2 linked regions of the Nothobranchius furzeri genome follow. The protein of the gene in region 1 purifies or fractionates together with the protein of each later gene. This does not show direct contact. Links are inferred from orthologs where the notes say so. Each region holds a gene or a part of one and is shown on either strand. Other genes may lie near its edges.

The links.
Region 2: the proteins of nop58 (region 1) and snu13b fractionate together in Homo sapiens (co-fractionation; 3 studies listed by BioGRID and IntAct, with this or other methods). This does not show direct contact. The link is inferred for Nothobranchius furzeri from reciprocal best matches to the Homo sapiens genes NOP58 and SNU13.

Annotation. Positions count from the first base shown.
Region 1 is NC_091742.1:74,286,157-74,290,214, forward strand, and holds the start of nop58 (nucleolar protein 58), read right to left. Parts: upstream 2,811-4,058; 5' UTR 2,686-2,810; coding exon 2,641-2,685; intron 2,063-2,640; coding exon 1,986-2,062; intron 1,910-1,985; coding exon 1,857-1,909; intron 1,645-1,856; coding exon 1,520-1,644; intron 1,447-1,519; coding exon 1,310-1,446; intron 1,131-1,309; coding exon 1,066-1,130; intron 420-1,065; coding exon 285-419; intron 133-284; coding exon 1-132. Other genes in the region: FMR1-interacting protein NUFIP1, read left to right, coding at 3,731-3,962. UniProt on the Homo sapiens protein: Required for the biogenesis of box C/D snoRNAs such as U3, U8 and U14 snoRNAs. Part of the small subunit (SSU) processome, first precursor of the small eukaryotic ribosomal subunit.
Region 2 is NC_091756.1:29,119,075-29,123,255, reverse strand, and holds the start of snu13b (NHP2-like protein 1), read right to left. Parts: upstream 2,846-4,181; 5' UTR 2,668-2,845; coding exon 2,665-2,667; intron 2,503-2,664; coding exon 2,382-2,502; intron 1-2,381. Other genes in the region: uqcrc2b (cytochrome b-c1 complex subunit 2, mitochondrial), read left to right, coding at 3,564-3,596.

The DNA.
Region 1 (4,058 bases):
GCCGGATGTTGTCGATGTCCTGTTCGGATACTTCTGTTCCCATGGAGATCTCAGCAGCTAGCTTCACCTCAGCCTCGATCTCCTCAGGGAGGATTTCTGACAGATCGGTGCTGGACACGTTTGTACGATCACCTGGGGCGGACAAGACGACCGTCCAATCAGTAAGACACTTCATAGTAAAAAGGTAAATAATTGCCCTTCCTTTATGGGTTTTGATAATTAAAACAAAAGCTGTCGTCTCTTTTTCACATCAGCCCAGGTGTTACTTAAACAACGAACCTTACCGACTTTGAGGACGGTTTTGCAGTAAGCTAGGTTGTCCGTGACGACCTTCCCCAGCTCGGGGAAGTGCCAGCCGTACCACTCTCTGCAGCGCATGATGTAGTTATTAAGCTCCTTGTCCAGGTCGTCCAGGAGGGCTGAGGACAAAAACACCCAAGCTCCGGTTATTGTGGACAAAGACAGCCAGGATCACAGAAAAGGACACCAGGGACACAAACTGGGCTTTCCTCAATTTTTCAAGATGTCTGAACCCACACGGCCCGGCGATGCTGCTACTAGCTTCTTCTGTGGGGTCACTGGAGGTGAGGTTCAGCCTAACCAAGTATCCAGGAACTTCTGATTTAAGCTTTTATCACGTCAGTTTAGTTTCCTCTTATAATATTTATAAGATCAATAACCATTATTATCAAGGGTGCTCTGACATTATGTTAAATCCTGACAAAAGACTAAATTTCTTCATAAATATTTATATATTAATCATCTGACTAACTTAAATCTTTCTATTTAAAATAAATGAACATTCGGCTGAACTGACAGTTTGATATTTCTTAAATTCAGATTTTTTATAGAATGGCTGAAATATTACTAATCCACCTCACAGGGGAGAACATTCAATCAAATCCTAAAAAAAAGAAATTTCTGAAATAAAATAGTTACTTTCTACAGGTTTCTGTAGATTTAGCCCGCTAATGTCTAACCCTAACCAGCTAATGCTGCATTCAGGGGTCATTATCACTAATATTGTATGAAAACAACACGATGCTTCATCAGCGAAACACTCACAAATGGCCTGAACGATCATCGTGTCCACTTTGTCCGGGCTGAACTTCAGCTTGTAGCGGGACAAACTGCAACAGGAGAGGGTGTTAGCTGATAAACAACAGACCAGGCGATAAACAGGAGCACAGGGGCAGCCTCAGTGGTAGTGACGAATGCTGATGGGAACATCTACATGAGGATCTCAGACAGCAATGTGTAATCACAGGCAGCAGCAGCAGCTGTAGTATAACCCCGGGGTGACCCTGACCTGTGAGCCAAGCCCAGAGACATGGCGCTCATCTCTCTGGGAGGAAGTCCAGAGATCAGACTCTCCATCTGGCTCCTGATGCATCTCATCAGCTCGGCTACTGCGGGGCTGTAGACGCAGTTCAGGTCCAGCTTGTCCTAAGAACACAAACTTGATCAGAAAATCTTTAACAGACAGATCTTCTGACGTCTGCAGAAGGATGAAACTCACTTTAATAACTCCACCCAGTTTAGCATCGCTGATGGCTAGCTCCTCATGAGCCTCCTTGGCCACGACTTTCTTCAGGATCTTCTTCAAACTTTTGCTGATTTTTCCCTCAACCAGAGCGGTGGCAGCTTCACAGCAGAGGTCAGAAACAACTGATTAAACCTAGATAAGCACACTTTAATAATCCCTGCTCCTATCCTGGACATCTTCTCTTATCTACTGGCTGAAGGGACAGGGTGGTCTCAGTGGTAGTGACGATTGCTGTGGATAACCTCATGCTTTTATCAGACACTGAAATCCATCACAGACCACCAACATAGACACAACAGAGTGTTTTTACCTGCCAGTGCCTCCGTCGTGTCCTGAAACTTCTCAAAGTGTTTCAGTTTCACACTGATGGAGGAAAAACAGATGTAAGCCCCCAGAGTGAGGTGTTGAGCTGAGGGTACTGAGACGTGTTCATACTCACATTTTGTTGGCTTTTTCAGGAGTCTCAAACTCCTTGTACAGGCTGTCCACCTGCTGCAGCTTTGATTCATTTAGGACCTAAAAACAAATAAACTTGAGCAACCAGACAATAAAAGCGTCTGTATGCTGGAAGCTAGGGAACTTGTGCATGGCAAGTGTTGCACCGAGCCAAACTGTCTTTTATAGACTTGAACGAAAAAAACAGCCACATGGGCAACATTGCTCTTGATACTTTGCTAGCACAAACACACAAACACACTTTAAGTGCATTTAGAAGGAACGACTCTACAATAACCTGACCGGATTAATTATCCTTTTATTGAGCGAGTGTACTACATTCTCTGTTGTGTTTGAGATCAAACTCAGCCAGCTTCCAGGAGCGCACGTGGTCACAGGCCCCTAACAGCATGCTAACTCATGTTAGCATTTGAGTTTAGAAACGAAGACGTGCACGTGAGATAGGAAAGCACACGGTGCCATATTCAAGCCCACACAGACACGTTTAGAGCTCGGTTGTTTTATTTCCCCTAATAACACCAACTTGTTACTTAAGGGCAAATTTATGTGTGACATTAGGATGCTAATCGAGGCTAACTACAGACATACGAGCGAAATATCGTACTTCAATCGGTAAACTGACAGAATGAAACACTCACTTTGAATATCGCATATCCAGCGGCGGTTTCAAATAGAACGAGCATGTTTGAAACTGCTCTGTTTTATTAAAGTGCTCTCTTTTCAGAGAGCTGACAGTTTTCGTCTCGGTCAGTCACCGCGATGGTGAGGCTCGGAAACCGCACGCGGTGCAGAGGAGCTGCTGCAGGGGGAAACTTCCGGGTTGCCAGATCCGTTAATTTGAACCAAAATCACCCAAACGTCAGTATTTCCTTTGTGTTTTAGCTAACTCTAAAAACAATAAATGTATTTTAAAACGCCATACACAGTAACTATAATAAATTTATGCAACTGTGTTGTTTTGTGTGTTCTTGAAAGCTTTTAACAAAGTAAATGTAATTCAATTCCATCTTTTTATTCCACCACCTTTATTTTATGATCGCATAGCAAAATAGTAAAACCACGTATTGTATTTTTTACTTATTATTTTTAAATTATCGTTATGTTCATTTTGTTAAAAAGTAAAAAGTTTATACATTTTAATTAAATGTCACAAACTGGATTTGATTTGGCAACGCCAGAGATGCGCGCAAACAAATCTCGCGAGAGGTTATGAGCACGGTATGTTGCTTTCACAGTAAAACTTAACGCCAAACTAACTGTTTACGCACTTTTAAACGATATTATTATTAATGATTCCATCATTAAAGTGACTGATCAATAAAACAGATAATATAATTAAACAATACGTGATGTTACTTAAAGAACAAAATGTAATAAAAGGAGAATTACAAACAAGTAGAGAATAAAAGAGAACAAACTCCCGTAATATAAGAATGACATTTTATGTAGCTAATTTTAAAGCACATAGGCGACTCCAGATGTGTGAAGATTTGTTTTAAAATATTTTTGTAGGAAATCTAATTTTCAGTTGTAATCCGGATAACTTGTAAATCCCAGTTCTGAGAAATTGAAAAGGAAATTCCGATCATCCAAAACGCAACACACTTTTTTCACGGAAGTGACGAACGCGTGAACTCTGGCAAAACACGAGCGCGTGGACTAATACCTTGAGCTAACTTTTACCGTTTTCTGGCTGGTAACGTTGAGTAAGGCACCGGAGCTGGAGCTATGAACGAACCAGAACGCTACCCTCCACCAGACTTCAGCTGTCCCCCTCCAAGCTCGTTCCACACGCCCCAGGAGCAGCAGCAACCTCGGGCCAGCAGCTTCCACCCCAGCATGTGGAGCTGGGGAGAGACGCCGTCCGAGCCCAGCTGGAGCTACTGGGTCAGTCCGAACTGGAGTCACGGACAGGCGGGAGGGTACCACGGTCAGACCCATCCACACTGTGAGACCTTTGGTGATTATGTTTCTAAAAGAGGACACCTCTCTCAATGTTTGTGTTTGGAATGCTTGATTATGGAAATCAATCAAAACCACAATTATTGTATAGTGA
Region 2 (4,181 bases), on another chromosome or scaffold:
GACAAGATTTCTAGGCGCAGCCAAGGTGTGGAGGAGATCTGTTTTGGTGGCCGAAGGATTGAGTCTCCGTTTTTTGCAGATGATGTGGTCCTGTTAGTTTCATCAGAACGTGATGTCCAGCTTTCACTGGAGCAGTCTGCAGCAGAGTTTGAAGCAGCTGGGATAAGAATCAGCTCCTCTATGTCAGCGACCATGGTCTTGAGTCGGAAGAGGGTAGAATGCCTTCTCCGGGTCAGGGATGAGGTCCTCTCTCAAGTACAGGAGTTTAAGTGTCTCTGGGTCTTGTTCACGAGTGAGCATGAGGTCGACATGTGGATTGGTGATGCATCTGCAGTAGGGCTGGGCAATATGGCCTAAAATCAATATCACGATGAGGATTTCACCTCGATAACGATAAACGGACGATAACTACAGGAATGCGCAGAAACAAAAGTTGTCCACTAGATGGGGCTGTCACATGTTTTACATTGAGTCATACTTTTACGAGGTGGTACAGCTTCTTAAAGGGACATGAACGTTGACAACCTACACACATCTTGACATGGGAAAATTATCTCGATAAGTCAGAAAATTTGATAACGATACATTTTCGATTTATTGCCCAGCCCTAGTCTGCAGAGATGCGGACATTGTACCGTCTGCCATGGTGAGAAGAGAGCTGAGCCATAAGGCGAAGCTTTCGATTTACGTTCCTACCCTCACCTATGGTCACCAGCTTTGGGTATTGACCCAAAGAATGAGATTGTGGATACAAGCAGCCAAAATGAGTTTTTTCCACTAGGTGTCTGGGCTCTCCCTTAGAGATAGGGTGAGAAGCTTGGTCATACAGGAGGGGCTCGGAGTAGATCCGCTGCTCCTCCACATTGAGAGAAGCACGTCCAATTGGGAGGAGACTTATGCCCAGAACACACCAGCTGCGAAGAACCGCGGAGTGGATTGCTCACAAAATTTGTGCGCTCTCCGCTCCTCTTCTGGTCACATCAGGCGAGAATTTTCAACGAGCACTTCTGCTCACGCCTACTGTTTTCTAAACATGCCCTTGCTCTGTGTGTGTGTGTGTGTGTAACCAGTTTGCCTTGCTTGTTGATATTGGACACTGTGCTGATTCTGCTGCTGTGCATTTGTTTGTATTCACATTTATTAAATCCATCTTTTGCTGTAAACACTGAATTTTAAATTATGGTAACACTACGTTTTTCTGCAGGTGTGTGTTTGTTCCTTTTCATCTCTCTAGTCTATTTAGATACACAAACATGATCACTTTTATCAATTGCAGTGTTTTATTGTGAATTTTTTTTTTGTTAAATTTACCAGCCTGCCTCTTCTGCTTTAGTTTACTTCCTGCCAGAATTGTTCACTCACGGCTCACGTAAAAATAGAGCTCACGCCAAAATGATCGCTGCACGGAGCGAGCCTTTGTGGCGCTTCCCAGCTGATGTGACTGAGAGCATAGGTTAACAGGGACAAAGCGCCCGTCGTTCAACAGCGCTTCCTTGCTACTGTATTATCTGGGTGCCTCGCCTCTGACAGTGCACCCAGGGCAGCTGCGGCTACATCGTAGCTAATCACCATCAGTGTGTGAATGTGTGTGTTAATGGATGAATTACACACTGTAGAGTAAAGCGCTTTGGAGTCCTTACTCTGAGAGGCGCTACACAAGTGCGGGTCATTTATCATTATCATTTGAACTAGATTAGAACCAATTCCCTTTCAGCCAGACTAACGCGTTATATGCATTTTAAAAAACTACAGAAGTCTTTTTAGGGCAATACTTTGGTTCTCTAGTGTGCATGTTAAGGCACTGTATATGTCATGGCTGACCAGGGGAGACCTTGGGATTCTGCGGGAGGAGCTGGCCCAAGTGGCTGAGGAGAGGGAAGTATAAGCCTCTCGACGTAGACTGCAGCTGCCGTGACACGACCCCGGATAAACTGAAGAAAATAGATGGATTGGTCTTAATGCGCCATTCTAATTTTTGATAATGCAGCTGCCATCAGCCTCCAGTGAGGCAAGTGTACAGCGCTGCAGACACGCACATGTAAAGAAGAGCTTCCTGCTTCCTCTGCCGCAGGATAGGAACATCTGTCACATGTCGATGTAAAATTCAGATTTAAAGTATTACATATGAAAGGGACCCAGGTCTAACTTGATAATTATGACGAATATGTGTTGTGAACGTCATTAAAAGCAGATGTGGGTCATAAAAAGCAGAAGTGGGTCACATCTGAGAAAGAAATTCTGGTTCGACCATTGAGTCAGCAGTGAGAACACGGCCTATGATCCAATAATTACATGTAAAAGCAAAATTTTCACCTTCTACGTTTGTTTCGTTACAAATTCTGTTATAAATGTTGAGTAAAATAGCCGAATAGTTTCCACACCTTCGTTAGCTCCCTTCCTCAGCTGCTTGTAGTTGGAGGCTTGCTGCACCAGGTCCAGGATGGTTTTGGTCAGGGTGGCGTCGGCCAGAGGGTAGGCCTTTGGGTTCACTTGGGGCTCACTCTGGTCACAAAAATGAGAAGGTTCAAAATAAGCTTCAACAGAACAAACCAGCTTTAACAAAAATCACATTATCTTATTTTAAGAAAGCGCACAACCGTGTGTTCTTATTCATGCTACATGCAAGCCCGTCTGTTAGCCTATTAGCTCTTACACTAAGCTCACCATTTTTGTAATCCGGCCCTCTCGGCGAAATGCTTCACGGAGGACTATTTGATTTGTCTTCAGAATATAAATACAATCGAAACGTGAATTATTCTTGTTTCATTCGAGTTTTAATAGCGCCACAAAACGACTATTATCTGCAGCATGCACTAGATCCAAACGTTGACCCCACGTGTGTGATGGTCGTCAGGCTGCACATGCGCACAGGGAATGTAATTTTTTCAAAACAAACTTTATTAACAAACAACATGAACAAACTGAAAAATACTTTCTAAAGTTCAAATAAAGTTATTTTAAAACAGCTTTCGAGTGTGTATCATGGTGTGTATTGCTTTATGACACTGTAAATGTCGAGGGGATATCTTATAAACCTTTAATAAAAAAAACAAAAATATGAAAGAAGGTTTAGACTTTTTATCTTTGAACCCGTTTTCGTTTTAAACCTGAGGCGTTTGTGGGCTTTCATGAAGTCGTTTTTTTTTCTAAATTGTGGACTGTGACTATTAGTTGTGGGAAAATGCTTTATAAAGATGATGATGATGATGATGATGATGATGATGATGATGATGATGATGATGATGATGATGATGGAAAGTTAATTATAGAATTACTAATTATGTAAATGCAAAATATTAATCAGTGTCACGATCTAATCAGATTTAATTTGCCAATTATTTTCCACACACAATCAATTTGATTCATATTTCCCATTTGCTGTTCTCGAACTCTTTGTTTTTTGTGATTTTAGATCTGGAAAAATTGTTGATGCAGTTTATTTGTTGGTCTGAAGAGGGCGCGCGGTTTATGCAAGCTAGAGATGAACGCGCTATGCATTCTGGGTAGGGCACTTTCCATTCAGCCATATTGTATCGTTGTCCTGGCTGAAGGAGACAGGAGAGATGAAGGGGATTCGGGGAATCAGTCAGTTAACGGTGAGAGCTGACTTTATTTGTTCTGAAAGTTTGCGTGACGGGATCAGTGTTCCCATCCCATCCAGTCGCTGTCACTAACTGTCTTTGGGTGGTTTTAAACCATACCTGTCTTGTCTTGGAACAAGCAGCCGGCTAAGCTTGACATGACTGTTTAATCTGAAAACTTGATGTGACCAAGAATAACTATTTTTCTAGACATGTATGTATATGATCATGAATTAATCTCCACTGTGTTAGGCTCTAATGACTGACTCCTCAATTGTTTAAATGTAAGATAATTAACAACTAGCAGCTAGCTAGGCTAGTTAGCATACCAGAGGGTACGTAGTAGCTTTAGCATTTTTCAGAAGGCTTAACTCTAGGTGTGTGTATCTCACTCAAATACATATCTGGATCGGTGAATGAAGACTAAAATTATCAAGTGATTTTCATTTGGAAAGAAACCTTCAATCTTTGTACGACAAAAGCACATTTTAAAACATGCAATTAACAAAAAGGAAATCCCAACTGTTCATTCACTCGGGGACACACAAAACACACACTTATTCAGGGTGGGTTATCTCTCTTTAAAGTTGGTTCAATGTG